Tamandua tetradactyla: one gene and its partner. The protein of the gene in region 2 interacts with the protein of the main gene of each other region in a pairwise test. Links are inferred from orthologs where the notes say so. Each region holds a gene or a part of one and is shown on either strand. Other genes may lie near its edges. The genes, in order: LRRC8E and TRIM2.

Region 1 (16,357 bases), on a different chromosome or scaffold from region 2:
ACAAGATGCCAAGTCAGGTGTGTGTTTGGGAGGCACAGCTGTTGACCCCAGATGACAAGATGCTAGGAAGGTATGCACTGAGATGGTTGGATAAAAAAAAGGGGTATGCATGTTGGGATGCCTAGTTATAGTTATAATGACTCCAAGGTATCTAGGCCAGGTGGAGGGAAGCGAATAGTCACTGGAACCCAGGTGACAAAGTTGTCTGGCTGGGGTGGTGGGTGTCTATTTTTGGAGAGGCTAGACACAGTCACCCAGACGGTGGGAGTGAAAACTGGTCAGAGAGGTAGGTGGGAATTTGAAGGTGATCACTGATGACTCCAGTCTAATGTCTGGAGATAGAGTGTGTTGGGGGAGTCCAGATGACAAGGTCTCTAGCTTGAAAGAAGGTTCTGCTACACAAAGTCACAGGAAGAGAGTGGGAGCGTGGTCAGAAGGGATGTGTGTGTGCATGAGTGTTTGGGGCGGGGTGGGGGGGATCCTGAATGTGATCACGGACGTAGAACAGGTCCCAGCTCTGATTAGATGACGGAGATGAGGGCGGGACATCAGGTGGGGGGACCTCTCATCGAGCCGAGCAAATTAGCTCTCAGGACCCGCAAGCGAAACACCCAAGACCGGGGAGGGCCGCCAAGGCGCGCAGGGGCAGCCCTGGGCCGCTGTCCTCGCTGACCCCACGCCACCCGGGTCACCGTGACCCTCTCCCCGCGAGCCGACGGCGGGAGGCGGAGAGCAGGAGGAGCGCGAGCGCCCCGGAAGCGGGGGCGGGGCCTGGCGGCGAGGGCGGGGCTTCCCGAGGAGCGCGCCCCGCCCAGTCCGTCCCCTCCCCCACGCCGCCGTGCTTACTGGGCCTGGGCCGCTGGGGGCTGATATCCAGGTTGAGGTCGATCCTCCGCCGGGCCTCGCGGTTCTCCTGCTTCAGCTTCGCCTCCAGGCGGGACAGCTTCTGCTCCAGGGAGGACGCCGCCATCTTCCCCGCCGCCGCCGCCGCGCACCGCCCGGCCGCCCGTCAGTCCGGCAGACAAACACCGCACTGCGCCTGCGCCGGGATGACCCCGCTGAGCCGCCGTCTCGCCCTGCATAGCGCATGCCCACGGCGCTCACCCGCCCTTTCCTCGTGCGAACTTCGGCGCGTGCGTGCTTCGTCCCAAACGGAGGGAGGTCGCCACCTAGAGTTTGCGGCTAGCAAGCGTTCCAACCGCTCTCCGTCCACCGCGCGCGCGTGCGATGCGCCTGCGCAAATTCCGAGCGCTCCCGCGTGGGGCGCTGGGCGGGAACTCACCGTTCTTCGGAGGGCGGTAGGCGGAGCAAGCGGCACGCGTGCGTACGAAGGAAAAGAGCGGGCTCGTGCGAGCTTCTGCTGCGCATGCGCCTAGCCGGCGCTTCTTGTCTTTCCTCAGGCGCGGCCTCCGGCGGTCACCTCAGTAACTCTTTCCGGCCGGGCTCTCTCTGCCACCCGCGTGCGCTCTCATTATTGCTTCCTCGCTTCGGACCGTGCCTCATTGGGATGCCTGTCATGCTTAATTGCTAACCGGCTTCCTTCTCCCAGGGCGGTGCCGCCTCCTGACCACAATTAGTCACCTGTGGGGAGCCCGTTTCGCCGCGGCTGGTCCCAGCAGGCTCAGGATGGGCCGAGGACGAGCGGGAAGAAAGAGGGTGGCGGCTGGGCCACACGGGCCGGCCCCGGGAGTGCGGTGGCGTGACCCCTGACTTCGGCGACGGGGCCAAGGTCAAGGCCAAGGTGTTCTGAGCCAGACCTTAACCCCTAGGCCCTGCCCGTGGAGTAAGAGCCCAGCCCCGGACAGCGCAGAACCAGCGCCTGGCGTCCCCCGCAGCCTAAGCGCCTCCTTGAACTGGTCTGAAAGGCGCTGGGAAAATGGCTCCACCTGGTGACAGCTGGAGAGCAGACACCAGGAGGTGGCTGGCAGTTTGCAGATGCACCTGGGAAGACGGCTCTGTAATGGCAGGGAAGGCTTGTGGGGCCTCTTGTGGTGACAGTCTCTCATGGGTGGGGCAGAAGCAAAGAAGTGTAGTGTTGGGATTGGGATAGAAGAGCAGGTAAAGGAGAAGGTCCTCCAGGGGGAAAAAAGTTTAGGCAGAAGAGGCCACCTGATTTGTCCATCTCATCAACTGAGATGGCTCCCTTCCCAAGTTCCCTCCTGAGATTCACACCCTTTATTTTGGCAGGAAGCGGCTGTCATTGCTTGCCTGTAACTGTTCTGGCCATGTGGAAGGCTGAGACCAGGACAGGAGTGGACAGCATTACATCTCTTTAGAGATCAGCATTATACTTCTCATGATTAGCATTCTTTATTAAGCATTCGCTGGTATACACTCCTTTTCCCAGGGTCAGTCAAAAGACATAGTCCCTGCCTGTCCTTGGAAACTGTGGCCGCCACAGTTAACCTGGATCTGCTGACCTTGGGAAGTCCAGGAATAGCACTTAGGGGAATCTGTGTACTGCCTGAAGTTGTTTACAGCATTTATGTGGGTACATAAATATTTCCATGAGAAAGGAAGTGCCTAGCTTTCATTGCACTCTCAAAGGGTCTAGGACTCTAAAAAGGGTTCAGAATCCCTGCTCTGGACGTTTTCAGTTATCTGTTCTGCAGGTCAGTGTTTCCAAACATATGATCCTAGGACCACCTGCCTCAGAATTACGTGGGGTGCTTGTTAAGCAAGCAGGTTCTTGGCCCCCACCCAGACCTCCTGAGTCAGTCTTTCAGGGTTGGGACCTGGGATGTTGTTTCCTACTTGCTCCGCAGTTGAATGTGATGCATAGCCAAGTATAAAAATCATTGTTCTGAGGTCACATGTCCACAGCAAAAGACTGATAAATAAGGGTTTAGCTTCAAAGTGGGGGGGTGGGAGGCAGGTCCCTTGGCTCCGTGTCCCCCTCCTTGGGAGAGAACTCCAGATGTAAGATGTTTGGTAGGGGGGAGAGGATTGGAAATCCCATAGGGATGTACTCCTACCACCATATATGGCACCGACTGAACTGGAATGTCTAGAGGGAGGGTAGTTAGCATTTTTGGCCCAAGGCTGGGCACAGGCCAGCCAGCCAAAGACACAAGTGTGGTTTTGCCCTGGGAATCCCATGACTGAATTAATCCTTCCGCGTGGGTTTCCATTCCAAATCCACAGTCTTTCTGTCTCTCCCCAGACAAACCAGTCCCACCGTCTTGCCCGGGCCTTACAAGGCTGGCATGTCTGTCCCTCCTCTTCTGGCCTGAACCCACACCTTCCTTGAAGTCAGTGGTGGAGATTCTGGGGCAGAAGCATCCAACGGCCTCCTGCTACCTCGGTGTGCACCACCCTGGCCTCATTCCTCCTCCATCTTCTCTCGCACCTCTGCCGGCAGGCCCTCATAAAGAGTGTCCTCCACTAGAAGCCCCGTTTTCTTGAGCCCCCCACAGTTGCCAAGTTCTTCTGGCAGTGCCTCCAATCTATTGCCCTTGAGCTCCAGACGGCTGAGGGCCCTAAGGGCCCCAACCTGGGGCGAAAGCTGGCTCAGGTGGTTGTAACCCAGGAGCAGGGTGCGAAGCTTGCGGCAGAAGTAGAGCTCATCGGGCAGGGCCTCAAGGGCATTGTAGGAAAGAGCCAGGTGCTGCAGGTTCTGGAGGAGGCCCACCTCGGGTGGCAAGGAGTGTAGCCCATTGTGGGAGACGTCCAGCAGGCGGAGGCTAAAGCACAGGCCAAGCTGGGTGGGCAAGGTCTCGAGCTTGTTATGGCTGAGATAGAGCTGCTCGAGGCCCCTGAGCTTGCGCACGTGCTCAGGGATGTAGGCAATCTGGTTGTGCCACAGCCTGAGCGTGACCAGCTTGCGACAGTGCTGGAAACTGAGGATCTCCTCAATGGACTGCAGGTGGTTGTCCCTGAGGTCGAGTTCCTGCAGTGCCCCGAGGCTGAAGATGGCATGGGGGATGCGCTCCAGCCCGCAGGCCACTAACTCCAGTTCTCGCAACGCCACCAGCTTCTTGAGGCTGTTGAGGGCGAGCAGACGTGACCCGTCGTTGTGCAGGCTGAGTCGCTGCAGGTGCCCAGCCACGTCGGTCACGCTGGCGGGCACTTTCCCAGCATTACTCCGCAGAGACAAAACCTTGAGCTGCTTCAGCTCCCGGAGGCTCTCAAGGGTCGCCGCCCGAGCTAGCTCTGGGGGGAAGAGCCCCTCAAGGTGTAGCTCCTCCAGGCCACGCAACCCAAACACCCAGAGGGGCACCTCCCTCAGTTCCTCGCACTTGATGCGGATCACCTTCAGCCTGTCCCGCAGGAAGACCTGCGAGGAGAAGGGCAGCCTGGCAGGTGAGTGCAGCAGGTTGAGCTCCTGCAGGTGCACCAGCTGCGAGAGGCTCGGGGGAAAGGTGATGTCAGAGATGGCCTCCAGCCGGAGCGCTTCCAACTCGCTGAGCTCAAAGACAGTGTCGGGCAGCCCGGGGAGCATGCAGAGGGCCAACTCCAGCCGGCCACAGGCATTGCGCTGCAGCTTCTGCCGCAGCTTCTCAGGTGTCCACTCGTGGTTCAAGTTGAGTTGCTTCAGGCGGCTCTCACTGACCTCGGAGAGGAAGACGGCGAAGCGCTTTGAGTAGAGTGAGTCGTACTGGTCTATGAGGTGTAGCATGAAGGCGAAGTCGTTCTTGACGTCAGGGATGTCACCCATGCCCGTCTCCTCCCTCACGGAACGGAAGGAGTACTCTTTGAGGGGCCGGTGGAAGAGCCAGTAGAGCGTATAGAGGCAGGTGATCCCATAGACGCAGACGAAGGAGATGTAGCAGAAGGCCAGCTTGGAGAAGAGGTGGGCCTTTGTGTGGTTGCAGCAGAAACTGGCATAGCCCGTGACCTCTGAGGTCTCCACCCTGCACACCACCAAGAAGCTGATCTTCTCTACGTAAATGACGTTGTAGACCAGGATGGCAACAAACTTGCACACTTTGAGCACTATCTGCCGGATATACATGGAGTACAGTATGTCACCCTCTTCCACGTGCACACGGAACTTCTTGACCTTCTCAAACAGGGCTTTGGCTTGTTCACCCTCTTTCTTGTCCAGTAGGGTGACAGCTGGCGGCTCAGTCACCACCTTCTCAGGCTCCACTAGCACCGCCTTCTCGCCCTCACTTGCCTTCCCTGGTCCGGCCCCTGCTGTCACAGCCACAGCCACAGCCGGCGTTGCCCGTCCAGCAGCAGGGCCCTTGTGGTTCTCCCCGGAGACCTCGGACAAGGCCCGCGTCGTCCATGGCGAGTCAAAGCACTTGCTCAGGATAGAGATGAAGTGCTCGATCTTGGAGCTGGTGCCTGGGAACTTGAACCAGAAGCTGGTGCAGACCATGAAGATGAGGGTGTGGATGACTACGAGGTAGGGGAAGTACTTAGCATACCAATGAAGGGCCGTCTCGTAGCACAGCTGGTTGATGAAGCTGTACTGCTGCAGGTCCAGATTGTTCTTGAGGCCACTTGCCTCCCGGAGGCCCTCTATCTGCTCAGAGACCCCCCGCGGCAGCAGCTGTTGGCACGACACCTCTGATGAGTTCTCCCGGGGTTTGTGACTGGGCAGACAGATAATCTTATCCTGTGTCACCTGGGGTTGGGAAAGAGGGCAGTACCAGGTGAGAAGGCTGGAGGCCAGGGCAGTGGGGTTGAGAGAAGTCGGTTGAAGGCAGGAGGCCCCCATCCTGACTTCCTGCTATCCTGGAAGAGTTTGCTAGACCTCTGAGCATTGGTGTTTGTATGAGAAAAAGGAGTAGGCGATGGCAGCACTTTCTAGATTCCAGAGATGTACCAGAGTGCCACTGCCGCTGATAGCAAGGATGGAAAGGTATCCAGTTTGGTCTTTTGAGTGTGACTGGGCTATGCCCACTCCCTCCTCTTCATTCAGTTACAAGGCGGCTTCTGGCCTCCCCCCCCTTCACCTCCAGTCCTACCCCTCCCCTGGCCAGGCCCCTTACCTGGAGAGTGCAGCCGAAGACCCCGATCATGAGCATGGCCATGGTGAGGTACTCAGCCAGCACATCCCACCAAGGTTTGAGCACCTTGAACGCGGGCTGCTGCTCGGTAAAGTGCTTGAACTCGGCCACCGGGATCATCCTGCCTAAGGGAGAGGAGGGGGGTGGGGGTATCCATGCTGTCAGGAAGGGGCATCTGGGGGAACCAGAGGACATGGGCCTCTGCTCCCAATTTGTTCTCTTTCCTGCCAAAATCAGCTCACAAGCTGCCCACGAGCTTTCCTGACCCTCAGACTCCACCTCCCTCCCAGAGCTGAGCGGCTACCATTCTTTGGCTCCCCGGCACCCCTGCCCCAACTGACTGCCCAGCACTCGGGAGGGGCAAGTCCACAGGGCCACTGTCCCCCACGTTCTGGAACCCCGGCATCGCCCTCCCACCCATGACACCAAGGCCCAAAGCCCTCCCTCTGGTCGCCTTTGACTTTTGTCCTGGCTGTCAGTCCCGGCTCTCACCACCTCAGGACCTGAGAACCTGCGAGGCTCAGGACTTCCGGATATGGGCTTGGGACCAGACCCGGTACCCCCTCCTATTCCTTCAGGGACACTCGGGGCACCACCTCCAACCGGAAAAGCCGGCTGGAGCTGGCTATGGTTACCAGAGCCCCAGGGACAGGGCGTGGCCAAACAGAGGGCTTGTCAGCCCTGAGGAGGATGAGGGGGCAGGACACTTGGGTTTGAGCCCAGAATCTGAGGTAGGAAACAGATACCTGGGCTCTGAGGTGGCAGAGGGCGGAGCATCAGTTCATTTTAGCTGTCGAGGTGATCCTCTAACCTGGTGGGCCCACTCTGCCTGTCCCTAGATTTCCTCTCAGACCAAGGTATCATTATTGCGACACAGCCAGGCACAAGTCACTCCTGGGATGTCAGCCACAAGCTGGGATATCACCCTCTGTGATAGCTGGGATCCTCCTCTCCTCCCCAAGGCTGGAGGGGAAAGAAAAGGGAGGCAGTAAGGAGGCCCTCTACCTCCTCTGAAGGGGTTCCTAGGCCAGCCCCACCTCCCCAGTGTTCATCCTTCCATCCTTGCCAATCTGCTTCCCCTGTCCTCTCATGCAGGTGTCCTCAACCTGACAGTGCATCTCCAGGGAGGAAGGAGGACATCTGGGCCGCCAGCTGCTTCTCTCTAGCCTCCCCCCATCTCCTAGGGAAGGGTCTGGGGCAAACTTGCCCCCACTCCCCAGCCCCATCTCAGCCTTTCACTCTGACACTTCCACTCTTTTTCTGCCCCCATGTTCCTTGAAGGCCTTGGAATGTCTCTTGGCTGATGATGGGGCCTGGGGGTGGGGTTAGAGGTGAAACAGGATTTAGACCCTGCCCACGAGGCTCAGGGCTGGGCAGGCCACCACACCCCTTAATCCTTTCCTTCTGAGGCTCCCTCCTCAGTTCGGGGCATTTGCACGCAAGGGAGCAGGCACCCACCTGCCCATACATGGGCTCTCCATTGTGCCCAGCCTCACGGGTCTCCTGACTCAGGCCTTGACTCACGTGGAACACACACACACACACACACAAGGGAGGTGGCCCAGAGCACATTGCTGCTGCTTGCCCAGGCCGTCCCTTGTGCTCCCGTTATACTCCTGGGCCTCTGCAAAAGCCCGGGAAAAATGCACACATGCCTCTCGGTCAGTCTCAGTCTCTAGGGGACCTGACGGAAACACACCCAGGGCAGGTACCAACTCCAGACACAGCCACCAGAAGGGACACACACACACACTGAGCGGAGGGGAGAGCCAGAATCGGTGGCCTTATCACCTGCATTCAGTTCTGACCACCAGCTCTTCTCCCTGCTCCCCCACTGGGGGCCACGTCAGGACCTGCTCAGTGGCTTCACCTAAGAATAGTACTTGGGGGTCTGTGGCAAAAAATGCCACACACAGGCGGGGACCTGACCTCCCGCCCCAGTCCCTGCCACCCCTCAGGACCCATCTTACAATCTCATGAGCTCTACTGCCCTCAATTACAGGCAAGAAAGTGGAAATACCGAGGGGCCCAGCGCACAGCACAGGCACTGAGAACGTGCTGTAGATATACACAGAATCAGAAGCAGATACGGGGGTTATCATTATCTGTCTCTGTGACTCAAGCTTGATACTTCCGAACCTGTCATTAAGTCTCTGCAGACATGGCTGCCCCCCTTGTCTGAGCAGGGCGGGGGTGGTGGGCTGGGGAGAAAGGCTCGCTGAATGGAGTCCCAGAGGAAAAGAACAGTAAAGACCGCCGTGCAATGTCCAAACACCAGATGCCTCAAATGCTTCTGTTTCTCCAGCTCTGTGAGGCGTGGGTGCTGGGAGCCTCGTATTCCACATTCAGGGAAGAAAAGGTTGTGCAACTGGCAAGTGGCCTTAGCGGTCTATCCGTCCTACCCCTATCTGATCTGTCTCCACTCTTGTTCTGTGGATGCAGCATCTTTGGAAACAGAACCCCAAAGCACTGGTCAATCAGGCAGAGAAGAGATGGAGAAAATTGCCAGGTTTTGAGTGGGGGTGGGTGGGGGAGAATCTTGCCAGCCTAAAAGTGGATACCTGGCTTCCACCCAGCCTCTGCTCCACCCAACCATGCTTACCCCTTCTCAGGGCCTCAAGGCCCCAGATTGCCTCCAAAGACCTGGGGAGTGGGGAGCAAGCTCTTGCTGGTGGGGGGGGGAACAGGTGCTTCTGGCCCAGCCCCAGCTCCTCCACCCCGGACAGTCCATCCTAAGGGGCAAGGAAGAAACAGCAGACTGCCATCAGCACTGACAGGGTGCTGGGAGAGCACAGGGTCTGAGTTCTTATTACACAAGAGGAAACTGAGGTCCAGGATGGGGAAGAATCACCACTTAATCAGACCCCAGGCCTGTGGACTTCCAGCCTGGTACTTTCCCAAGTTGCCCCTGCCCAGGCTTGGGGAGTTTTGAGGTTCAAGAGCACCAGACAGCAGGCTGATGCAGACCCCAAGTGGTAGGGTTTTAGGGCTCTGAGGGACTCACAAATATGAGTTGTTATTGTTTTCCCAGCAGCCAAGGAAAGGGGCATGTGGTTGAGACCCCCTGAGGTTGACTCTACCTAGTTGAGCTTCACTGGACAGGCACCTTTGGGGCTGAGCCTCTGCCCCCTCCCTTCTTGTGTCAGCTGTACCTGGGGTCGTTCCTACCCTCTGCAGGATCCAGGCTCCCAGTCTGACCCCCACCCTGCCACCCCATTACCAGTAGCTGGGAGTAATTACTCACCTCTCTGACGGACGCTGGGCCCAACTCCTGGGTCCTAGGAGCAGAGTAGAGTGGCTGGGACTCCAGCAGAGTTCCCGGGCAGCAAGGGTGAGTCAGGGCGGGCAGGCAAGGACTGGAGCCAGGGAGCTGGCCAGCCCCGCCCTGCCCTTAGCGGCCCGCCTCCCCCAGGCTCTCCCAGGTCAACTCCCACCCCTGGAGCTGCAAGGTCAGGGGAGGAGGGAGCTCCCTACACTCTTCTTCCTGCTCTGCCCAAGTTGGGCCAGGGGCTGAGCCAGAGGAGCTCTGGGCTCCATTGCAGTCTTGCTGGCCCCTAGGGAGGGGGACACTGAGGGAGCTGGAGGCCCTGGGCTCCAAAATCGTCCCATGGCTGCCCCTCTTGGGGCTGTGCTGTGGAGACACTAGCAGGACAGCATGGGAGGGCCTCTTCTTCACCAGCAGTGCTTGGCCACCAGTCCTCAAAGACCCAGGGCAGGGCCTAACCAGGGAACACTTGAGCAGTTGCTCCTTCCTGGCGTGGGGGTGGGCTGAGGGCTTCTTCCTTCCCCCTCTGGCCTGGGGAAGCTGGGCTGAGCTAGGGGAAGCAGGTAGGAGGCAGGGTGCTCATTTGTCTGTCCACGCCCAGTGCTGTGCCTAACCCCAAAGGGGTCTGCACCAAGCTGCTCCCAGGTCCTGACGGGGTGCAGGAACAAGAAGAATCTGGGAGCTGGGGGTGGAATCTGGATCTGAGAGGCCCAGCTTCTCCCCAGGAAGGCTCTGCCTCTCTACCACCCCCAACCTCTCCTCCCACCTGGGGAGACCTGGCCTAGCTCATAGCTGTGCAAACCTCCCACTTACGCCTGGGGGGCATCTGCAGTTGACTGTTGATCTGCTCTCAGTCTGAAGAACCTTTCTCGTCAGTGGAAGGGGAACAGGGACTAGGACGGGGGTAGCAAGACCCTTCTTCCATGGGGGAAAAGAAGCCAAAGCTTTTCACCAGCTCTGAGACAGCCTGAAACCCAAGCCCTGAGGATTGGGATCCCCTAAGCTTAGTTCCTCTGTTGCTTCAGGTAGATGATGGGTGAAACCCAGCCCTGGAAGAGGCCCTTTGGGCTTGATCCCCAACCCAGCAGCCCAAAGACAAGCCCTGGAGAGACTGGGCTCAGGTCTGTCCAGCATCTCTAATCAGAACCTATTGTGTGCCCAGGCCCGGAAGCTTCCATGGTGGGCCACCTATAGATAAGCCGTACCCCTCTCCCACTCTTACAGAGCTTCTGTCCTAGTGGGATGGGGAGAGGCGGACACTGAATGTGCAAGATAATAGTGGTTTATGAAAAGTGCCATGCATACAATAAGGCAGAGTGAGACGGTAGCAATGACAGAGGAAGGGACATTTGAGATTGTGTCATCTCCCCTTTCACCTCTTCCTGTCTCCTGAGAAGCTTCTCTCCTTGGGATCCATGCCCTGGGTGTTTGTTTCCAATCATATGCTGAAATTCACGTTGTGCAAGAATCTCTGGGATCACTAGAACCTAAACCCCATGTGGGCCAGGCACATGTCTCTTCTGTTCCCTGCTGTATCCCCAAGCACTTGGAACAGTGCAGAACAGCCAGCAGCCACTTAGTAAATGATGGATGCGATGCGTGAATGATGGAGGTGTTGTTTTCTTTAGCATGGGCTCCTCCACCAGCAGACCCTGACAAGGGAATTGGATGCAAATAGTTTCTCTAGCAGGTGATCCCAGGAAGCAAGGAGGAAGTGAGACAGCCAGAGAAGGAAGCCACTAATGGCTACTGACAGGAAGATGAATGAACGCGTTACCACCATGGCCTACCGGGACTCAGTTCTGCTGGGGGTCTCTGGGGGATGGTATACAGTCTGCCTCCAAGTTGTCCCACTCAAGGAGCGAGGGAGTTGAAATAGTTATCCACCAGCTCCTGTCTGTCATTGGCTAAGGGCTGCTCTGGGGTGGGGCTGGGAGACAGAGGAAGTTAACTCCCTAGCATTTCCAGCCTTGCTGAGGGGATACAGAGGGGGCTCTTTAACCTGCCCCCAGGAACGGACACAGGAGTGGAATGGCTAGGTCATAAGACATGCAGTTTCAGAGCTTTCCACTCGTTTCCCGGAAAGGCTGCATCAGTTTCACTCCCACTGGCAGAGTGTGGAGTTTTCAACATTGATAATATCCTTAAGATTTTGTGAATCTGAGGTAATTATCCATTGCTGTACTGAGAAATTAAAATTGAACAAATGATCAGGATGACTGAATCATTATATAGATGCCCTTATCTTACTTTCTAGTGTATCGTAGAATAGCCAAAAGGAAATATCTGCAATTACTGAAACCCACTGAATTACGAATTGTAAAAGCCTCTTGAGTGGCCCTGCTGGTACCTCCTTACCCTTTCTCACAACTTTAGCATCTTATGATCACCCTAATGTTAGTGTAGAAACTTGAGTCCACCCAGAACTAACTGATAGCTATAGTGTTTATATTTGTTATGGTAATGGTTATTCTGGCTTAGTTCTAGCTTAAGTCTGCCCTTTATATTTGAATATCATAGTCATTTATACTTATTATAATGGTAACAACTCCATGGCCCCTTCCTTGAATCCATAAAAATCCTAAACTCAGGGAGACAGATTTTAGGCCCCTAGGCTACAACTGTTCTTGCTTCATGCAGCAATAAACTCTTTCTCCCTAGTTCACTCTGTTGTATTAGTCAGGGTTTGCTAGAGAAACAGAACCAACAGGAGAGACCTGTAAATATAAGATTTATAAGAGTGTCCCACACAACTGTGGGATTGCAAGAGTCCAAAATCTGTAGGGCAGGCTGTGAAGCTGGCAACTCTGATGAAGGGTCGTTATGAACTCCACAGGAGAGGCTCACTGGCTGAAAAAGAAAATTCTCTCCTCTCCTTTAAAAGTCAACTGATCCGATCAAAACCAGCTGATAGGATGATCTCATTTACAGGAGACATTCCTTTAGTTGATCCTAGATGTCATCAGCCACAGATGCAATCAGCTGACTGATGGCTCAATAGACCAGTCTTCTGGATAATCAACTTGCCATGAAATATCCTTTCAGTTATGGTTAGGCCAGTGCTTTCCCGACCAGACAACCGGGGACCATTACCTGGCCAAGTTGACACCAGAACCTCACCATCACACTCCGTGTCACACGCTGGCTATTATGTGCATCAGGCAGCGAACCCCATGTTTGATCAGTATTATTGCTGCCTAACAAACTACCAACAAAAGAAATAGCTGAAGACAACAGGTGTTTATTGCCTCACACAGATTCCAAGGGTCAGGAATCTGAGAGTGGCTAAACGGGATGGGTCAGTTATTCCCCTCCCTCTCCAACCCCCACTCCCCCCAGCAACCACTGATGTGCTTTCTGTCACAAAAAAATTAGCTTGCCTTTTCTATAATGTTAAATAAATGGAATCATACAGTGCATGCCTTTATTTGTGGCTGGTTTCTTTTATTCCGCCTAATGTTTTTGATACCATATTTTAGCTTGTTCCTTTTTTAGACCAGTTGTTGGTTTATAGGAAAATTATGCAGAATGTACAGAGTTCTTATGCTTCCCCTCACCCCAAGCTTGTTTCTTTTTATTGCTATGTATTATTCCATTGTCAGGCCTATTTGGGGTTGTGTTACCCATTCTCCTGCTAATCGATGGTTTGGAGAGTGTTTTTATAAGAGGGTAGGGTCCAGATCCCACTTAGTGAAGTTTAGATATGGTATAGCCCATAGTCAGAAGGCACAAGTAGGCATCTGTGCGGACTCAGTAAGTCACAGCCGGCAGGTGTGTGGGCAGGCTGTAAGGTGACTCAGGCTGCTGTCATGGGAGAAGGGGCTCACACAGGCCCCTTCCGTAGTCATAGGGAGGTGGGGAGGCCTAGAAGGATCCATTCCAGAGGGCAATGCCCTGGCAGCTCAGAAGGGACCCTTCTACAAGATCGAAGGGAGAGGATGTTGAAGGAGTGGGTTTTCTTCCACCAGCCAAAGCAGGGCATTCGGTTCTGATGCCCCCACCTTTCTCTCTCTTCCATCCACAGAACCTCAACTGTGGGCACAACTCCTGAAGCGAGGAGGCCCCCAAACTCTGCCTCCAGGCATACCCGGGTTAAACCTGCCAATCCCCTGGCTCATGTAAATGCCAATTCCCACCCTTGACTCTCCATGCAGGGAAGCAACTTAAGTTCTAGGAAGGGATGGACTGCTCAAGTGTGTTTGTGTGATAGGCACAGGGCTGTGGGCAGAGAGAGCTGCTTTTCTGGATGGGGCAGGAGGTGTTTGTGAGTCTGGAAGGATGGGGCTCCAAGTGGGGGTGTTTCAAGAGGCCCATGCAGGCAATGAAAATAACCTTCTCCCCTGCTCATGCTCCTGCCCCCTCCTTGCTAATGGCCCCTATGAACGCGCCCTTGCATTAGTTGGTGAGATCACCAGAATGACACTTCCCACATCCTCCAGCAGGGCTGCGGCCCTTGCACAGAATCTTCTCTGCCCCTTCCTTCATGCGCCTGTTTTTGCCCCTCCCACTCCCCACCCCCCAAATTCTGTCGCCACTCCACCCCTCAAGCCTGGCTCACCAGGAAGCCTTTGTTGAGGACCTCAGCCCCTTCCTGTGAACTGGGAGGGTGAGGAGGCTGGAGGAGCCCTACCCTACAGGGACCTGGAGTCACCTCTCGCAGTACTTTCTCATCTCTCTCCCTCCCTCTCCACCTTTCTTTCTTTTCTTCCCCCAAATCTGGGTCTGCCACACATCTTTAAATTCACAGAGCTGCTTGTCTGCCAGCAGCTCCCCACCAGCACCACGCTGGGGATTTGCCTAGGGTCCGGGAACAGCCTTCAGGTTTGAGAGGGACGGAAGCCCCCCCAGGATCCTAGGGGACCCAGCCCTCGTGGTCGTGCACGGACCGGCGACGCCGAGCGTCTGGATTGGCCGGTTGCGCCCGAGGCGCGATGGACCCACCTCCCGGTTGCCAGGGCCCGGCCTATCCGCGTCCGGGAGGGCCTTGGTCGCCAGGTGGCTGGGGGGAGGGGGGCCGGGGCAGGTGATGCGTGTCGTGGGGTACGGTAGGAGGGTAGATGAGAGACCCCACCGGGTTTTCCCGAAGCTCCTCCCACCGGGTCTCTGAGCTTGTCCGGCGGTCGCGCGAACTCGGGTCCCCCAGACCCCAGAACCGCCGCCCCTCCCCTCCGCCGCGCGCCTCTCCCCCTCCGCCCCGGCGGCGCGCTCCCGCTTGCCGCCTGCCCGGGTCTCCATCGAGCGCGCGCGCTCCCCCGACTCTCCAGCCCGCGGCCAGTAGGCTGGGCCCCACCCGGCTGCCCCACCGCCGCCGCCCCCTCCCCTCTTCTCCCCGGCCCTCGCGGCCACCGCGGCGCTCCGGCCGGGCCCCACCCCAGGCTACCCTGCGTGCGAGCGGCGGGAGGCCAGCGCAGGAGGCGAGCGCGGCGGCAGCAGGTGGAGGGCCCGTGGGGGGGTGGGGGGTGGGGGCCGGGCCCGGGACGCCGCTCTTTGTCTCCCGGAGCCCGTTCGCGGGCAGCCGGGGCTGCTCCTGCTCGGGGCAGGTGCCGAGGTCCCTCGGGGAGACACGGGAAGGGCGCCGAGACTGTCTCCGGACCCCCTCCCCTCTTCCGGAGCCCGTGGCAGCCCCCTGTTCCTGCGGCCGGTGGTCTTCTCGGTCTTGAAAGGGAGCAGAGGCGGGGTGGGGGGTGGGCTGGGATGGACCAGCTTGCCCGGCATTTGGGGAAGGCGGTAGGGGTGGGACTTGGGGACAACACCCAAGCAGCGGGGCTGTGGGTGGGCGGGGAGCGGATCTAGGCCGAGGCCGCGGTCTGGGTGCCCGTGGGTGGCCAGGCAAGCAGTGCGGGCCCCCGAGGCAGAGTCCCCGCAGGCAGCCTAGCGGTCCAGGACCTGATGCTGATGGGTTCGTCGCTTCATCAGGTGCAGCGATGGACAAGGGGGACAAGACCAAGGCAGGGCCCGCCGCGCGGACAGCGGCTTCTCGCCCTCCCGGCCTCTCCGCTCCCAGGCCTCCAGGGTCTCTGCGGCCCCCTCCCCCAGGAACCACCGCCACCCTCCGAGTCCTGGGCGCGGCGGCAGGGCGAAGGTCTCTGGCGGAGCGAGCTGGGGGCGCCGCTCTCTCCGAGGCAGTTTCCCGGGCGGGACCAGCACGGAGTGCCGGGGCAGGTCCCCGGAGTCCAGGTACCCCGACCTCCTTTCCCGAACCCAGTCCAGACCCATCTTCCAGCCTCCCCCTCCTCCCGAGGCACCAGCCCCATCCCTGCCCTGCCCTTCTGGGGCGACTGACTGGGCCTTCTCCCCGCAGCCTCCAGACCCTCAGCAGCTGGGCGAGGGGAGCGGGCCCCTACCAAGGCGCCCGTCCCGAGCTCTATCTCTAGCCCTGCGCGTGCCGGTGGGACCGCCAGGTAAAGCCCCCCGCACCCCCCAACCCAGTCCCCAGGGCGAGGGTTTCGGTCACTATCTGGAATCTTTAAATTATACATATGAACTGGAATGGGAAGACACTTGGAGATCACTGGGCACAAGATGGATGAAAGTATTATTGGTCCGCAAGGAGGGTACATATCCCATTTCACAGATGGGAAAATGGAAAATTGGGAGGTCAAACAAGGAGCTAGGGACCTGAGTAAACCCCCCCCTCCCCATTCCCAGGTCGGGGCCTCCTGGCCAAAAGGGGCTGCGGCCCTCGGCTGAGGAGCCTGTGGCTAGAGGAAAAGTCCCAGAGGCCCCCAGAAAAACCGGCCCTATCGCAACGGCACGGAGAGGTACGTGACCCGAGGAGGAGCGGGGCTCCTGGGCAGCGAGGGGGACCAGCCTGGGGGTAACAGTGACCCCGCGACTCTCTGCTTTGTCTCCAGACTCTTCCGGGCTTGCCCCAGGAGTTTCCTCCCCGACTATCATCCGTCGTAACCGGGTTGCGGGCGCCGAGGCAGGGCTCCCCCGGCCAGCTCCGGGTGCTCGGCCTCGGCCCGCGACGGAGATCCCCAGGAGATCAGTGAGCAGCACCACGGAGCCGGGCCCTGCCACCAGGAGGCTACCTAGCGCCGGCGGGGCTCTCCAGAGGCCAGCCTCGCGATCCGTGGGCTTCAGCGCCACCCCGCTGCCCTCCCCCGGCCGCTCCGAGTCCTCGCCCCGT
Region 2 (16,358 bases):
AGAGCCAAGCTGCCAGGGGAAGCAAATCTCAGGTGAAGGGGCCATCTCATTTTCCTCTGGAGGTGTCTGCAGCCGAACCACTAACGAATGCCCCAGCACCACCCTAGACCTGGTTTCCCAATTGAGGAAACTCTTTTGAGGAAATTGGTGTGCAAAATATGCTCACTAATGGCTAATGCCACCACCAAGACTGGAAAATTCCTCCTGGTTTATGTTCTGTCTATTACATTATTGCAATTTGGAGATCATAAAACAGGACGCCCCAAACATGCTTGCTTAGTTAATATCTTCTAACTGGGGCGTGGGCTTGGAAAATATCTTTACCTCCTTCTTCCTGACTGGGTGGTGTAACCGAGAAGTTATGATTTCAGGGACGATTATGGTTGCTGAATCATTACATAGATATCCCTTCTTGCTTTCTGGTATATTGGAGTAGACAGAGGGAAATACCCGAAACCTCCGAACTTTAATTCAGCTGCCCTAATATCTGGAATGATTGTAAAAGCCCTTATCTTGCCCTTCACATTTGTAAATTGTATGCCCCAGACTCTGCCATTGAAATGATAACTCAGCCTTTCCTCCTTCCAGCTTACATTTTTAAATGATAACTGTCTCCCTTTCTACTTACACTTACTTGAAACTGTAATGACTTCATCTCCCCTTGTTAGAATCAATAAATATCCTAAACCCACTAAATTCTGGGAGACAGATTTTTGGGCTGACAGGCCATCTGATCTCCTGCAGTAATAAACTCTTTCTCTTTGAAACCCTGGTGTTTCAGGAATTGGTCACTTAAGTGCATGGGCAAAAGAATCCACTGCCTTTGTCTGGTAACAGTAGAACGATCCAAATCAAAACTGGGTTTTCCTTATGGCTGACAAGCTCTTTATCCAGGGCATGGACAAATGAGTAAAAAAATATGGACAAAAAATATAATAATGGGGGGCAGGGATAAGGAGTAAAAAAAAAATGAGTGGAGCACCATATTAGTAGTCAGAGGGAGGGAGAAGATGTACGGGATGTATGGGTTTGGTTTTTTTTTCACTTTTTAAAAAAATTGTGAAATATAACATATACACAAAAAAAAGGAATAAATTTCCAAGTGCATTTTAACAAGTAGTTATACAGCAGATTTTAAAGTTTGGTATAAGTTACAGTTTCATGATTTTTCGTTTTTTTCTTCTAGCTGCTCCAAGACACTGGATACTGTTCTAGTTTGCTAGCTGCTGGAATGCAATGTACCAGAAATGGAATGGCTTTTAAAAAGGGCAAGTTAATGAGTTGCTAGTCTACAGTTATAAGGCCGAGAAAATGTCCCAATTAAAACAAGTCTATAGAAATGTTCAATCAAAGGCATCCGGGGAAAGATACCTTGGTTCAAGAAGGCCGATGAAGTTCAGGGTTTCTCTCTCAAGTGAGAAGGCACATGGCGAACACAGTCAGGGCTTCTCTCTCAACTGGAAGGGCACCTGGAGAATGCAGTGTCATCTGCTAGCTTTCTCTCCTGGCTTCCAGTTTCACGAAGCTCCCAGGAGGCATTTTCCTTCTTCATCTCCAAAGGTCGCTGGCTGGTGGACTTTCTGCTTCATGGTGCTGCAGCATTCTGAATCTCTCTGAATCTCTCATTCTCCAAAATATTTCCTCTTTTATAGGACTTCAGAAACTAATCAAGACCCACCCAAATGGGTGGAGACATGTCGTCCCTTAATCCGGTTTAACAACCACTCTTGACTAAATCACATCATCGAGAGAGATGATCCAATCACAGTTTCAAACATACAACATGGAACAGGGATTATCCTACCTTTACGAAATGAGACGTATATTAAAACATGGCTTTTCTTAGGGGGCATACTTCCTTTCAAACCAGCACAGATACCATTAAAAATATCAATATAACGATTCAGCAATCATACTCATTTGTTAAATCCTATCTTCTGTTATACTCCTCCTTCTCTTTAACCTCTGTCTATTCTACAATATAGGAAGAAAAATATCTATAAAACGATTTGGGTTAATTTCTTTTTTTTTCTTTAATTAATATAAATAAATAAATAACATATATATACATAAAAGTAATAAATTTCAAAGTACATTGCAATAATTAGTTGTAGAACAGATTTCAGAGTTTGGTACGGGTTAAAGTTCCACAATTTTAGGTTTTTATTTCTAGCTGCTCTAAGGTACTGGAGGCTAAAAGAAATATCAGTGTAATAATTCAGCACTCATATTCACTTGTTAAACCCAACCGTCTTTGTATAAACTCCACCATCACCTTTGATCTTTCTCCCACTCTTTAGGGGTGTCTGGGCTATGCCCCTTCTAACTTTCTCATGTTGGAAAAGGCTGTTGATACTATGGGACAGGAGGATGGAACTAGTTAATTTTCTGTAAGGGTTGGCCCGTCTGCATTTCAGGACCCGTCTGGAGGCTCTAGGTTATGGAAAGTTACCCTAAGCATGGAACCTTTGTAGAATCTTACATATTGCCCTAGGTGTTCTTTAGGATTGGCAGGAATGGTTCTGGTTGGGGCTTGGCAAGTTATGATAGGTAGCAGTGTCTAACTGAAGCATGCGTAAGAGTGACCTCCACCGTAGCTTCCTGACTCTATTTAAACTCTCTCAGCCACTGACAATTCATTAGTTATACTTTTCTCCCTATTTGTAAGGACATCCTTTCTTTTTATTTCTTTTTCTGGAGTGATACAAATGTTCTAAAAATTATCATAGTGATGAATACACAACAATGTGATGATACTGTGAGCCATGGATTGTATACTATGGATGGACTGTACGGTAAATGAAGATATCTCAATAAAGTATTTTAAAAAATAAATAAAGATAATCAGATGGAATGGAAAAAAACACTGCATTTAATTTTTCACATTTTCAGTCTTCCATCAGAGCTCTCCTTTTGAGTGTCCTTATTCTGAGAGTCTCCATTTTGTTTACTTTCTGGTCTCTAAAATCATCATCCTCCTGCCTAAAGGGCAGTAATCAGAGTCCTCAAATGCTAGTCTGGATCCTAACAGGGGATAGCAGGGTGGCAAGACCATGTTTCTCTTGATATTTTGTTTTAAATCAATGGTTACATTTGTACTAAATAAAGACATCTGGTAGGTATTCTGAAATGTGAAAAACACCTACCTTAAGGACATGGTAACTGAAAAGGATAATCGCTTTTCAGAGCTCTGACAGCCTTGAGCATATTTCTATAAACTGCTCTGGTTCCAGACACCAGCATGATTTACAGGTTGACTCATTTTAATGCAGTCAAGGCTGAAGCAAAACCTGTAACCACAGCTTCTATTTGAGCATTTCTGAGCTGTCATAAGCTAGTGAAGATGCTGACAGAGAGAATGTTTTTGTTTGACTGAAGGACACATTCTAATCTTCTGAGCCGAACCTTTTGCATAAACGAGTTTCATCCAGATATATAATATGCTACGAAAAGGGAGAAGGTATTGAAAATTCTAGGGAGAACCTATTTCTTCAAGTAGTAAGATGATATTCAAAGGCAAGATGTGCAAAACAATTATTTTACATAGGAAGGAACCAGTGCTAGTAAGAAAAAACATTTGTCAACAAAAGCTCAGTTTTTCGGTTGAACTCCATTAAGATCTCAAAAAATACACAAAACTGAGTAGTTAGTAAATAGGCCTTTTACAATACCAGTGTTTACTGCCCTAAATTTCCCCTTTACCTGCTTATCTCAAAAACCTACCATTCTCTTCTGGAGAAAATAATAAACTCACAGATAACTTACAAGGACTTTTTATGCCAATTAGCAGGTCAGTCAGTTTCAAGGTCTAATATATGAGTAAAATAAAATACTATTGGTGGCAGAGTATGAGAACACCTCAGACTTTGCCCTCAACCCTTTTAAGATAATGGTTTCAGATAGGCCACCCCAACATCCATCCTGGAAAATATTTCTGATGAATCCCTAAAGGAAAAGCACCATTGTTCATGAAACCCAAAAGAAAAGCCCATAATTATATTCATCACTAGCAGCAACATCAAAGCACCTCACCAGCTCCTACCAGCACAAACTTTTAGTGCCTATGCAAACAGAGAAAAATTCTTGTCTTCTGGGAATCTATAATTCAAGATGGATTTGGCGTAAACCAAGCAATTGTCATTTTTAGTTGGGGAAGGAGAAAGTTCTGACAATGTTATCGCCCCAGGATTTCAGGATGCCATCTTCAAAGGTTACCAATCTGGTAATTGGGCTATCTCCAATAAATTTGTACCGGCAATGCTCAGAGAGATGGTAAGTTACCGCTGTTTGTAAAAGGGCCAAATAAAGAGATCACTCAAGTCTCTTTCTAGAGTAGTCAAAGGACAGAAATTCAAAGGTCAGATTTCAACACTGAGGCAGACCAAAAAGTTCAGAGTGGAAGATGTTCCTTCTCAGAAAATCTCCCTAACCCGTTTATATTTAGTGTCTTATAAGGAGTTCCTTCCACTTGCACTTTGAAATAATGAGCTGACTGCCATCTTGCAGGAAGCCATGCATGTCAGCATTAAAATGATGATGCAAGAAAAATAATACAAGATGTAGATACACTTTTACTTTTGACAGATACACTGGAATTTCCAATGGGGGATTTAACAGAAGTAGACTTTACCAGGAAAATACAAACAGGAGTTAGAATAATGTTATCAGAGAATACTGATAAGGGAAACTATCACCTAAATGAGTCCTGACATTTATTATGAGAGGTAATAATCTCCTGGATTCCATGATCCTAAATAGAACCATGGTATATTCCTAAATAGGATGGTACAGAAAAGGTTAGAAGGAAAAAGGAGGCTACTGGGAAAAGTGTGCAAATATGAGGGTGAGTGAAGAGAACCGATGTTAGCTCTTTTCTAACCTGTTCAGAACAGGACTGAATTATCTCACCATGAAGACATTTCATTAATGTGGGTGGCCCCAACTGATTCTACCAATCCATACTTGCCCTAAGGGAGGAACATGGTGGAATTTTGTTTTGTTTTGTTTTAACTGATCCATAATTGTTATATGGATCCAGGTTTGAAAGGGAAGAAGAAAATGTGCGTCATAAAGCACTCAATCAAATCCCTCATGTCTCTGGTTAAAATGGTGCTCTTTTGTTTCTCTGAGCTGAAAGGCAGGTACTAATAGTTGGCCAAGGATGAAATCAAGTTGAAATCTGAGACTAGAGGTCAACAGAGCCCCAAGGTAATGAACTGAGTACAATACCTACTCCCTCTACTTGCCTTAAAGGAACAGAGAAGTACAAGTTGTCATGCAACAAGACTTTAACTATATTCTAAAAATAATGATGCAAAAGTTGATGTAAAAAATGGGGGGGGGGGCTAAAAACTTCTGAAAAAAAGCATAGCAGGATATACTTCCAGAGGAACAACCCCCACCACCCCCTTTCTAGGGGCTAACCCAACTCTTCTGGATGTTTGAACTCTTAGTGGTTTAAAATTACCTGTTTTTAAAGTGCTTGAATCTAAAGCTGCTTCAGTTCTGAAAATTAAGGCTGGTGATGTACAGAGTAGGGGTGGGGCGAGGAAACAGGAACCAGTTGTTCTACGGGGTTGGATTACAGGTGGGAAAGAATTCGGGGCTCAGAGAATGCTTTGGATCTAACAGGCAATTAATCCGACAAACGCCTCTCCCGATCCTCAACCTTTTAACCCGTTTATAAGCAGCATCGGGTCTGTACTTGACGAATGCCCGTGACTAAATCCATTAAAGAGTCGCCCAACCTTCAAAAACCAACATCTTCCTCCTCTTACAAGCCAGGACTGCAGTATGAGCTCGGGCACAGGCTAAGAGTGGAAGTTAATAGGAAGGAAATCTGTTTGTGTAGTTTCAGAAAAATAACCGGGGGTTCGGAGGAGAGGAAACCCACCCTTTCAAAATTATTAAAGCTATTGCTCTAAGACCTTCAGGGGATCTTTTTCGTTTTTCTCGGTGCACAATGACTTTAAAAGCCATTTGGAAGGGGCCTGGCCCGGGAGCAATGCAGCGGCTGCAGGCAACGCGCTGCAGCTGCCCGGCTCACCCCAGCACTGACTCGCAGCTGGCTTCTACCCACCGCAGCGAGGATCCGGAAATGGAATTTTTTTTACCGGCTTCCTACACACCTCAGTGTGCCTGGACTCTGACCCGAGGGAAAGCGTCCAGGCAGCCCGGGTCGGGCCCACTGTCCGTAGCCCAGCACGCACAGCCGGACGCCGCGGCGCCAAGCGACCACTTACTGCGAAGCGCAGAAACCCACGCGCACTCGGGAGGGTGCCTCCGCCGACTCCGCCTCGGGCTTCGCCGCGCCCCGGCCACCACCCACGGCCGAGTTTTGCTCGCTCACACCATCAGGCGGCGGGCGGGCGACCCAGGCTTCGGCGCCGGCTCCTCTCCGCCTCCTTCTTCCTCCCCCGCAGCCGCGATGGTGCGGCCGGACGGCTGCACGAAGGTGAGACTACTGTATCGCCAAACGCTTACTGAGAGAGCCGTAGGCTGATAATCCTGGGGCAGCAGTGACATCAAGTAGTAAAAATAGGCAAGAGGAGGAAAATCTGCCTCCTGGCTGGGTTTCAGGGACCTTAACTCGGAGATCTCCGTTTCCAATGGCTCTCTGGTTGGTCATTTCCATTCTGTGCTCAGTCCCAGACGGGGAGGCAGCTGTTTTCCATAAGCCTCGAGGCGGAGGCAAATCCTGGATTAAGCACTGCCCGGCTCTCGCAGCATTCCCAAACCCCGCACGCCAGCTAATCCCCGCACAAAGAGCAGAAAAACAAACAGATGAGTTTGTGGCCAGTTCCAGAAACATTTCCCTAGAGCGATGATTAAGGGTTCTTCTGGCCGGCTTCCCGGGATGGGCCAATCGCAGCCCGGGGGTCAGAAAAAAAAGGGTTGGCTCGTTTTTTTTCAAGTATACTAAAAACGTGTCCTCTCCAAGTCCTGTAAACACAAATGCAAACACTGCCCCTTCGGGGGAAGGACTGATTTCAGTTTGGACCGAAAGAGAAAAGGGCCAGCCTCCATTATGGGACTCTTCATTGTTAGAGTCCCAACTCCCTGAATGTGAGAGAGGAGAATAATTTAAGGTTTACTTTAAGTATATTCTGATAAACGAGTCAAATATGACACAATCGGCCCTGAAAATGAGGAGAAATTACCTCCTCTGGGTCTTACTTTTTACTCTGTAAAATAGGTAAGGATAGGAAGTTTTTCTCCCTCCTTATTTTCCTTTTTCATTTTTTGAGTGCCCCCTATGTGCCAGGCACTAGGCTACAAATATAAAGTTGGAAAAAGCATCAAGTCCCCATACACAAACACACACACACACACACACACACACACAGAGACACACACTGTGCCGCCCTCCCCCCCGCAGGTACCTTACACTCTCATAGGGAAAAAGACAAGAAAACTAACAACTTCAGTACATTGTGAAATTGCTATGATAGATATTTATGTCCACAGGATTACAGGAACACAGAAGCAGGTTTTAGATCATACTAGGGAATCAAGGAAGGTTTCCCAGAGGAGATTGAATGTGAGGTTTGAAGACTGAGCAGACATCAGGTAAAATAAAGAGAGAAACAGAAGGAAAGTCTGAACTCCTGTATGGCTGCAGAAAGCAAGATGAGAGATGAGGTTCTTGTCTGCTAAACCAAGGAATGTAACCTTTGTCTGAAGGCCTTGGGTATCCTCTGGAAGATCTAAATCAGTGAGATGACCTGATTGTATTTGCATTTTAGAAAGATTACAGTGGAAGCCATGTGAGAGGAAGCCCACCTAGGAAAGGTGTGGTCGGGGGTCAGGATGAAAGAAAAAGAGTCCAAAGGTAGGAGAGGTAGGATGTTGAGGACATGATGCCTGGTAACAGAGAGGGGAGGGAAATTGAAGGTTATTACCCATGTTTCTGACATGGACAACAGGGTGGATGAAGTGCCATTCATCAGCAAAGAAAAATGAAGGACAAAGAACAAGTATGATCAGGAGAAATGATGAGTTTTAAACAAGGTAAATGTGTGGTATCTGTGGGTTATCTAAATGTAGGTGCGCCCGCAGCAAAACAGCCACTTGGGTCTGTAACTCAGCACACCATTAGGGGCTAGCAATACAGATTAGACAGTTGTCCACTTATTTCTGCATCCAGGGGTGCAGAAAAATTCACAGAATGTAAACTGAGTTATAAGAGCAGGACTGAAGATGGAGTTATGAAAAAATACTGGCTTTGACTGGGCAAAGATTGCAGCCTGGAATGAAAACTGAGGGGAAAACTATTCAAAAGGGGGAAGTGAGGTAATCCACAAACAGAGAGAGTCATTCAAGAAAGGAGTGGTCAACATTGCCAAATGCTTAAGACAGTCAAGCAAGGTACAACCAGAAATTGCCCATTGCCTTTGGCAGTATGGCTGTCATCAGACCAAATGGTAAGACTAGTAGATGAAGATCAAAGGGCCCTTTAGCTCCAACATTCTACGGCTTTAAAGCCGTCTACCTAGGACATTTGCTATGTTTGAGTACTGCCACCCATGCCAGAATCTGTTTTCCCAGCTTGAAAATGTAACCTACACACTGGCAGTTGGATGGACAAACCTCAAAGTGTGAAAGCAATGTGAGAAAGCAGATTGCAGGGAAGCTGTTTTCTATTTCTACATAGCATACTATTTTCAAGGTTCATTCATGTGGTAACTTATATCAATACTTCGTTCTTTTTTGTGGCTGAATAATATTCCGTGATGTGTATATACCACATTTTGTTTATCCATTCATCAGATAATGGACAATTTGGGTTGTTTCCACTTTGGGCTATTATGAATAATGCCATGATGGACGTTGATGCAGAGGTTTTTAAGTCGACATATATTTCTACTTCTCGTGGGGATAGATCTAGGAGTGGGATTGCTGGGTCATATGGTAACTCTCTTTAACATTTTGAGAAACTCATCAACTGTTTGCCACAGTGGCTGCGCCATTTTACATTTCCACCCAACAGTGTATGAGAGGTCCAATTTCTGCACATTCTTAACAACATTTGTTATTGTGTATCTTTTTAATTTTAGCATTCTAGTGGTTGTGAAATAGTATCTCATTGTGATTTTGATTTGCATTTCTCTAGTGAATAATGATGTTGAGCATCTTTTTATGTGCTCATTGGACATTTGCATGTCTTCTTGGAGAAATGTCTATTAAAACCCTTTGCCTATTTTTAAAATTGGGTTAGTTGTCCTTTTATTGTTGAGCTGTGTTCTACTTTGCAAGCTGCTAGAACGCAATATACCAAAAACAGAATGGCTCTTAAAAAGGGGACTTAATTAAGTTGCAAGCTTACAGTTCTAAGGCCGTGAAAATGTCCAAATTAAGGCAAGGCTATGAAAATGTCCAAATTAAGACACCAACAAGAGGTTACCTTCACTCAAGAAAGGGCGATGAAGTTCAGGGTCTGTCTCTCAGCTGGAAGGGCACACTGAGAAGTCTGCTAGCTTTTTCTTCTGGCTTCCCATTTCATGAAGCTCCCCCGGGGGTGTTTTCCTTCTTCATCTGCAAAGGTCTCTGGCTTCATGGCTCTAAAGCTTTTTTCCAAAATGGGTCCCTCTTAAAGCGCTCTAGTAAGCAACTCCACCTTGAATAGGTGGAGACACATCTCCATGGAACCCACCTAATCAGAAGTTACCACCCACAATTGGGTGGGTCACATCTCCATGGATAATCAAAAATCTCCCACCCAGCAATATTGAATGAGAATTAAAGGACATGGCTTTTCTGGAGTACACAGCAGATTCAAATCGGCACAAGCTGTATTAATTCTTTATATATTTTGGATACTAGTCCCTTACTGGGTATGAGTTGAAAATATTTCCTCTCATTCTGCGGGTTGTTTTTTTTTTTCACTTTCTTAGATATTCCAATATTCTTTAATAAATCCCTTTTTAATGCTTAAGCTAGAATAGTTTCTGCTGTCGGTAGCTAAGGACCTTGAGAGAGGCACCAGGTTGGGTTAAATACCATCCTTTTATATTTTCTTCTACAACAGTCCCTCTCACATCACATCTTCTATCTGATATTGCCTTAGACCCTTGGTGTTTGTTTTTTTATGCCTAGTCTATCTGAATTCCACCTCCATCTTCCATTTCCTGGGCACTATGGTATAAATGGCCACTACTAACTCCAATGAGCCATGACTACCTCAGCAGCCATCCCATCTATTTCTTACCACCATCCAGTCCAGTCCTAGCCCAGAACCCAGGTAGGTATGTGCAACCCCACCCCTCTCAAGGCTCCTGCCACTCCCTGCCACCTTTCCTCTGTGATACTGCTAGAGCTACATGGGATCTTATGCATGAGGTCAGTATCCTATTTAATTTTTGGATCCCCCTCAGCACCCAGGACAAGACATTGCAAAAACTTGGAGCAATAAATGTACATTAAAGCGAATTTCATGCTTCATTCCTTAATTTTACTTTTTATTCTAAAACTGTATTTATGCAGGCCTTGCTTTTCTAAACTTTTTTCTACATGGTCACATTTAGAGGATTAGGGCCTGAGATTGGGTTTCAGGGCAAATCTGTGGTGTTCAGTTTATTACTGAAAGAGTGGAATGCTTTGGGGGAATTCATGTTTAGTTATTTGTGAAATAGTTAAAGAAAATAAGGCTGCAATGATAAAGCTCTGAGCATCCAGAGAGGAATTAAAGAGTATTAATGGGGCATCATGAGTCTAAAGTGAATGCGTTTCTTGGTTGATTTTTCTGGTGGATTGGGCTTCATGCCTGCCACTGCCCAGTGATTTGGGTCTGCTTATTCTCTGTAGGCTGCTTCTTATCCCACCTATTTATTTCTGTACTCCTACAATAATTGGTAATTCTTCAGAGTAGGGAGTAATTATAGGGCACCTGTCAGCAATAGCTAGAAAGAGCCTGTATTGATAGTCATCCGTTCAACCAGTGTTTACTGAGCACACACTCTCTGCAAGCCACCACCTGGGGAACAAAGAGGAACAGATTCATTTCCTACCATAAGGTGCTGAAAGCCTAATAGCGAGGCCAAGACAAACATGGTTAACTCCATAACCGAAGTCTTTAAAAAAAACTCACTTGAGGACCCAGAGGAAGGAGGAATTACCCACTTTTCCAAGTATTGCAAAAGGTTTCATGGAGAAGATGGGGAAGAATAGCTGGCTTTTGCTTGGAAACCTCTTAACCATAATCCCTGTTCTCTAGAGTTCCCAAACTACTTGGAAATAAAGTCATATATGATAAGATTCACTTGAAAAAGTGAGTGATCCTTCCTATTAGGGTAATCAAGAAAGATTTTGTGAAGAGATGGACTGACTTGGGCCCTAATGATGGATTTATTATGTTATATGTTCTTAAATAAAAAGCAATGAAATTCTCTGGAAAAGTCAGAAAACCTAGAAAAGTATACGTAATAAATGGAATCATCTATATACCTACTACTAGAGATAAATACAGTGCCAGACATAAAATAGGCTTAAATATCTGCTGTAAGAATGAATGAACAAAACTTGCCATTTATTGTCTCTTTCTGTATTTTTCTAATGCATATTTTTACTGTATATATAATTTTAGAGTCTGCTTTTTTAAAAAACATGTCATATAATATGCATTTTAATGTCAGTAAAATTATTTGAAAATGCATTTTTAAACAGTCGAAGAATATGTCATTCATTGCAATCAATTTCCATAGTGTTCACATTTAGATTGTTTATAAATTTCCAATTATTCTAAATAAATGTTCAGTGAAATTGCTAAACACGAATGCTTGTCCACATTTCTATATTCTTAAGACAGATGACTTTAAGTGGAATCATCAAGTCATGGTGCATTAACATTTCTAGGGCTCTCAGGACAGCAAAGCATTACACAATTGCTTTCTAGGAAGTTTGTACTAATTTATACTCCCATTGGCTGGGTGGACTGGTGGTTCAATGACAGAATGTTTTCCTTCCAGGTGGGAGACCTGGTTTTGATTCCCCAACCATGCACCAAAAAAAAAAGGAAAATAAATATTTCCCCATTCTCAATGCATGAGATGGAGATACACACCTTTAACAATGTGAACGTTTAAAAATATTTGCTAATTTAATAGTGGAAAAGCATATACTGAAGTTTCTGAAATTCATATTTATGTGATCACTAGTGAAATGAACTTTTTAATATGATCATTAATCATTAGTATTTCCTTTAAGTAAAGTTACTTGTTCCTATTTTTTCTCCATTTTTCTTTGGGGAACTTGGAGAGAATCTGCCATTCTCTTGTGGCTGTCGTTGTGTGAGCACCCCACCATGATGATTGTGAGCCTATTTTTTAAAAATACATCCTCATCCATTCAGGATTCTTCCCTCCCCTCCTCTTCTCTACAATATGGCCCCTGACCACAAGCCAGCTACTTTACCTGGTGCTCAGTCAAAGGAACCATGAGCTATTGCAACATTGGAGGCAAAAACTAGTAGTAGAATTATTGAACAAGGCTATGTCCAGAATGTCATGGGTCATTTATGGACTGTGACCCTCGTTGTAGGTACTCATTTTAGAACCTAACCTTCTTCTATGCCATAAGTTTAAACACCAAAGCATTTTCCTGCCGACTCCCTGGGTTTCAGCAAAATGTTACTTTCTTGTCTTGGTGGTGTCTGTGCCTGCTGAGCCTAGTCTGGCCTTTTCTTCATCTTTCCCAGTCCAAATCCTGCCCATCCCTGATAACAAAGTTCAAATGGCAGCTCTGAGACGAGGATAACCTCCTCCTCGGCACCCCTTATCCTTTGTATCTCACTTAGGGCACTGCCCTCCTCCTGAGTGTTCTGATTATTTGTGTATACAACTCATAACTTTCATCATACTGTGAACTCCTTGAGAAGTCTACTTAAGTAGGCTCTATGTCTTCTTCATGTCTGGATTCTCATAACACAGCAGAAACCCAAAAATGCTTTACAAATGAAATAATGTCATTTAACAGAAACACGGCAAGAAAAAAAAAGTGCTACTTTGAAAGGGAAGACAAAGCTTCATTTTAGATGTATTGATTGTGGTAATGGTAAGATGTCAGACAGAAATGGAAGAAAGTCAGTCTAAACAAAGGAATAGAAACTCAACTCACAGAATCACATCTTGGGCCCTTTATAGGGTTGAAGGTAAAGAAAGAATTGGGAAGCAGGCTGCCTTTTGTGTCCTCTTATGAGGCACAAGTTGCCCCTATTATTCTTCAGCCACTGAAGCCCACTGTGGGAGAGGAATGAAAACTGGTAAAAATTACAACTGAAGTCCAGGGACTAAGAAACTGAAAGGGGATAAGCAATTAAATTTTTAAAAATAAAGTCCACTGAGGGAAATAAGCACTAAAATAATATTTTAAAACAATTTGGAAGTTGGCAAGGAAATGGCTACTGGCTTCCATTAGAGTAAGAGCATGCTCTCTTATAATATTTTCCTAAAATGATGATGTATTGATCTTCTCAGGTTGACCCATTAGCCATGAAAAGATGTTGCTGAGTCTCTAAGGATACTTAATCAGCAGAGGCATCAGGCCATGCCACAGATCCACACACTCGTTCAAAACCAAATGTAAAGGAGGAACAGTTAGAAAGCCAAGACCAAAGGAGAACAGCTCTCTCTGGGGTCTTGATTGTTGCTCTTAAGTCGTTGCCAACAATCTCACTCATCATAAATCTGCTTATTTTTAATACACGTTATGCTTTTGAAGTTTCAAATCAGAACCTTACTCAGACAAAACACAAAACCAATAAAAACAGGCGGAGGACTTTTTTGAACTTGTGTTTCTTAGGTTTATTCTTATTGTCTGTTCAAGTCTCGCGTTAAAGATGAAAAAGAAAAGAACCATGGAAGTGTTTCTTTTGAAGTGTCCTTTTATCCAACATGTGGAGAAAATATGACAATTGCATCATGTTCTTATTCTTTCTAATAGATGCCAGTGTAGTCTGTCCCTAACTTCCAAAAGGCTGTATTTGAAATGTTGTTTTTTTTAAAATATACAATTTTAATACGTGTAGCTTACAAGCACAGAAGTGCACAAAACCAAAGGGAAGAGCTCAATGAATTATCACAAATGGTTCACATAAGGGCCAACACTATCCAAAATAAGAACTAGAACACCACCACTCCCCCAGATGCCCCCTCCCAAATGTAACTTTGTAGTTAGACATATTTTTTCATGGAAATATTACTAATGGTGGTAAGTATCCAGATCAGACCACAAATTCAAAAATAGACTCAGACTCTAGCAAAGTGACACTATACCAACTTCAGTTTTTCTGTGGGGAAATTTTCAGTTCCAAATAGCGATGCCAGGGAGCAGCTCCAGACATGTCATCCCCAAACCTCAGGGGCTTCTACGACTCTCAGGGCTCTGGGTGAGTGGGGTGGGCACAGAGGGGAGGAGAAGCAATGCCAGGATCCCGGTAATCAGTTCACAGTCTACAATGTATTAGGATCTGAGCAAGAAAACATGGTGCTTTGGCCAAAGACACTCCAAGTGTCCTGATTTAGGAAAAAGATGCTGGACAAGAGAAGTGGTCCATGTTTATATCGGAGTAATCTGAAAGTTGTATGTACTGTATAATAGAAATTCAAGAAAATTTAAGAGACGTACATTTAGGTACCCAGTGTGGGTGAAGAATACTAAGGCTAGCAGTTTTTACTGTTGTTACATAATTCATCTTTGTAAACTTTTCGGCAGGATCTGATTCCAACTAAAGGCAAGCATTCTCAATTTAACAACTATCCATTGAAAAAGAAGTTTATAAATATTCAGTTGTGTTTTCTAGTGAGTACCAAATTCCCAGAAAGTATAACCTAGAATGCATGTCAAAACGCAAATTTAAAGACTCCAATCCAGATCTACTGAACTAGACTTTCCCTTAGGGAAGCCCATTATATTTCACAACACCTGACATGCTTCTTATCTTCAGGAAAATATGGGCAACAATGGCTTGGTCTAAGGAAGATGAAAAAGTAATGTGTTCAGTTAAAAGTGCTATAGAAGTCATAATTGTTGTTGATGCTACTAATAAAAATTAAAATGCCGTGGAGAGGAGGATATCATCCACATGGCGATGGAAGACACCTACTAAAAACCTCTCCCCAGACAGTCAGTGAAAAAAAAAAAAAAGAAAGAAAAAATCAAACATGCTCAGAACTCTGGAGGAAGGTAAAACCTGGAGAAGGATCCCACAAATACTGAATCAAAGAAAGAAAAAAATATCAACTAGAAAACTACCATTCCAGACTGATTTGTTGTGATGGTTAGGTTCTGGTATCAGCTTGGTCAAGTGATGATGCCCAGTTGTCTGGTCAGGCAAGCACAGGCCTGACCATTGTTGCAAGGATATTTCATGGCTGGTTGGTAAACCAGAAAACTGGTATTAAGTCATCAGTTGATTGCATCTGTGGCTGATTATATCTGCGATCAACTAAGGTGTGCCTCCCACCTGCAAGATAATCCAATCAGGCAAGGACTTTTAAGGGAGAAGGGAATCTTTATCACTGCTTCTTCAGCCAGCAACCCTGACTAACACAGTGGACCTTTCCCCTCCCTCTCACTTGGTCCCATGCAGCTTGGAAAGTACCCAGAGGCAGCATCCTGGCTCTCTCCCACTGGGAACACAGACTATAAAATCTGTCATAGCAGAAAAAAAGATCCCCATCTATATCCGGATACAGAAACCCAGGTCCACAGGGACCCAAGGCAGTCTCAAGCCATGGGGGAGGATGGAACACAAAAGGCAGTAAGGAGGAGCTTCCAAAATGGAGGATTAGGGAAGGAAATGCAGACTTTACTAGTTTTCCAAAAGCAGCAAGTAGCCAGAAGAAGAAACTGTCCAAATCAACTGTTTGGAGGCTAGGAGACAAGGGAAGACATTTCAAGGTCCAGGTCAGTTTGGGATGAAGGAATTGAGACAACATGGACAGAGGCTGTACTCCAGCTGTAGCACCTGGTGCCCATCTCCCACCCTCGAGGGAATCAGCAGTGGGAGGGCCGATTCTTGCCTGGGAGACAGCTGTGGACTGAGGCAGCTGTGGGAGTCCTTTGCCACAAGTACAGTAGGGGACACAGCCCAACACTGAGCCAGATATTGGCTGGTAAAGTTACAGCACAGGAACCCGGCAGTATCAGCCCCACCCTGTCAGACACTGCCAGGCTCCAGGAGTCAACCAGTTTCTGAGGATGAATAAGTAACCAATGAGCACCATCTGCTGGCTTGACCAGAAGGGGGAAAAAAGCTGGGCTTTTTGGAGCATCTTCAGACCTTGTCCCATGCCTATCAGAGCTGGTCTACACACATTGTGTCCCTCTGTCCTAGACAATGGTGATGCTCCAACTGTCAAAGT

Evidence for each region.
Region 1: the proteins of TRIM2 (region 2) and LRRC8E interact in binary tests that used the Homo sapiens proteins (3 or more experiments, as listed by UniProt). The two-hybrid records come from large-scale screens. The link is inferred for Tamandua tetradactyla from reciprocal best matches to the Homo sapiens genes TRIM2 and LRRC8E.

The regions. Positions count from the first base shown.
Region 1 is NC_135337.1:84,294,650-84,311,006, reverse strand, and holds LRRC8E (volume-regulated anion channel subunit LRRC8E), read right to left. Parts: upstream 9,284-16,357; 5' UTR 9,205-9,283; intron 8,693-9,204; exon of another isoform or gene 8,563-8,692; intron 6,924-8,562; 5' UTR 6,738-6,923; coding exon 6,707-6,737; intron 6,659-6,706; exon of another isoform or gene 6,453-6,658; intron 6,086-6,452; coding exon 5,943-6,085; intron 5,576-5,942; coding exon 3,323-5,575; 3' UTR 1,189-3,322; downstream 1-1,188. Other genes in the region: MAP2K7 (dual specificity mitogen-activated protein kinase kinase 7), read right to left, coding at 847-970; PRR36 (proline-rich protein 36), read left to right, coding at 15,150-15,402, 15,527-15,626, 15,874-15,986, 16,080-16,357. UniProt on the Homo sapiens protein: Non-essential component of the volume-regulated anion channel (VRAC, also named VSOAC channel), an anion channel required to maintain a constant cell volume in response to extracellular or intracellular osmotic changes.
Region 2 is NC_135348.1:13,957,978-13,974,335, forward strand, and holds the start of TRIM2 (tripartite motif-containing protein 2), read right to left. Parts: upstream 7,067-16,358; 5' UTR 6,526-7,066; coding exon 6,484-6,525; exon of another isoform or gene 6,243-6,483; intron 1-6,242. UniProt on the Homo sapiens protein: UBE2D1-dependent E3 ubiquitin-protein ligase that mediates the ubiquitination of NEFL and of phosphorylated BCL2L11. Plays a neuroprotective function. May play a role in neuronal rapid ischemic tolerance.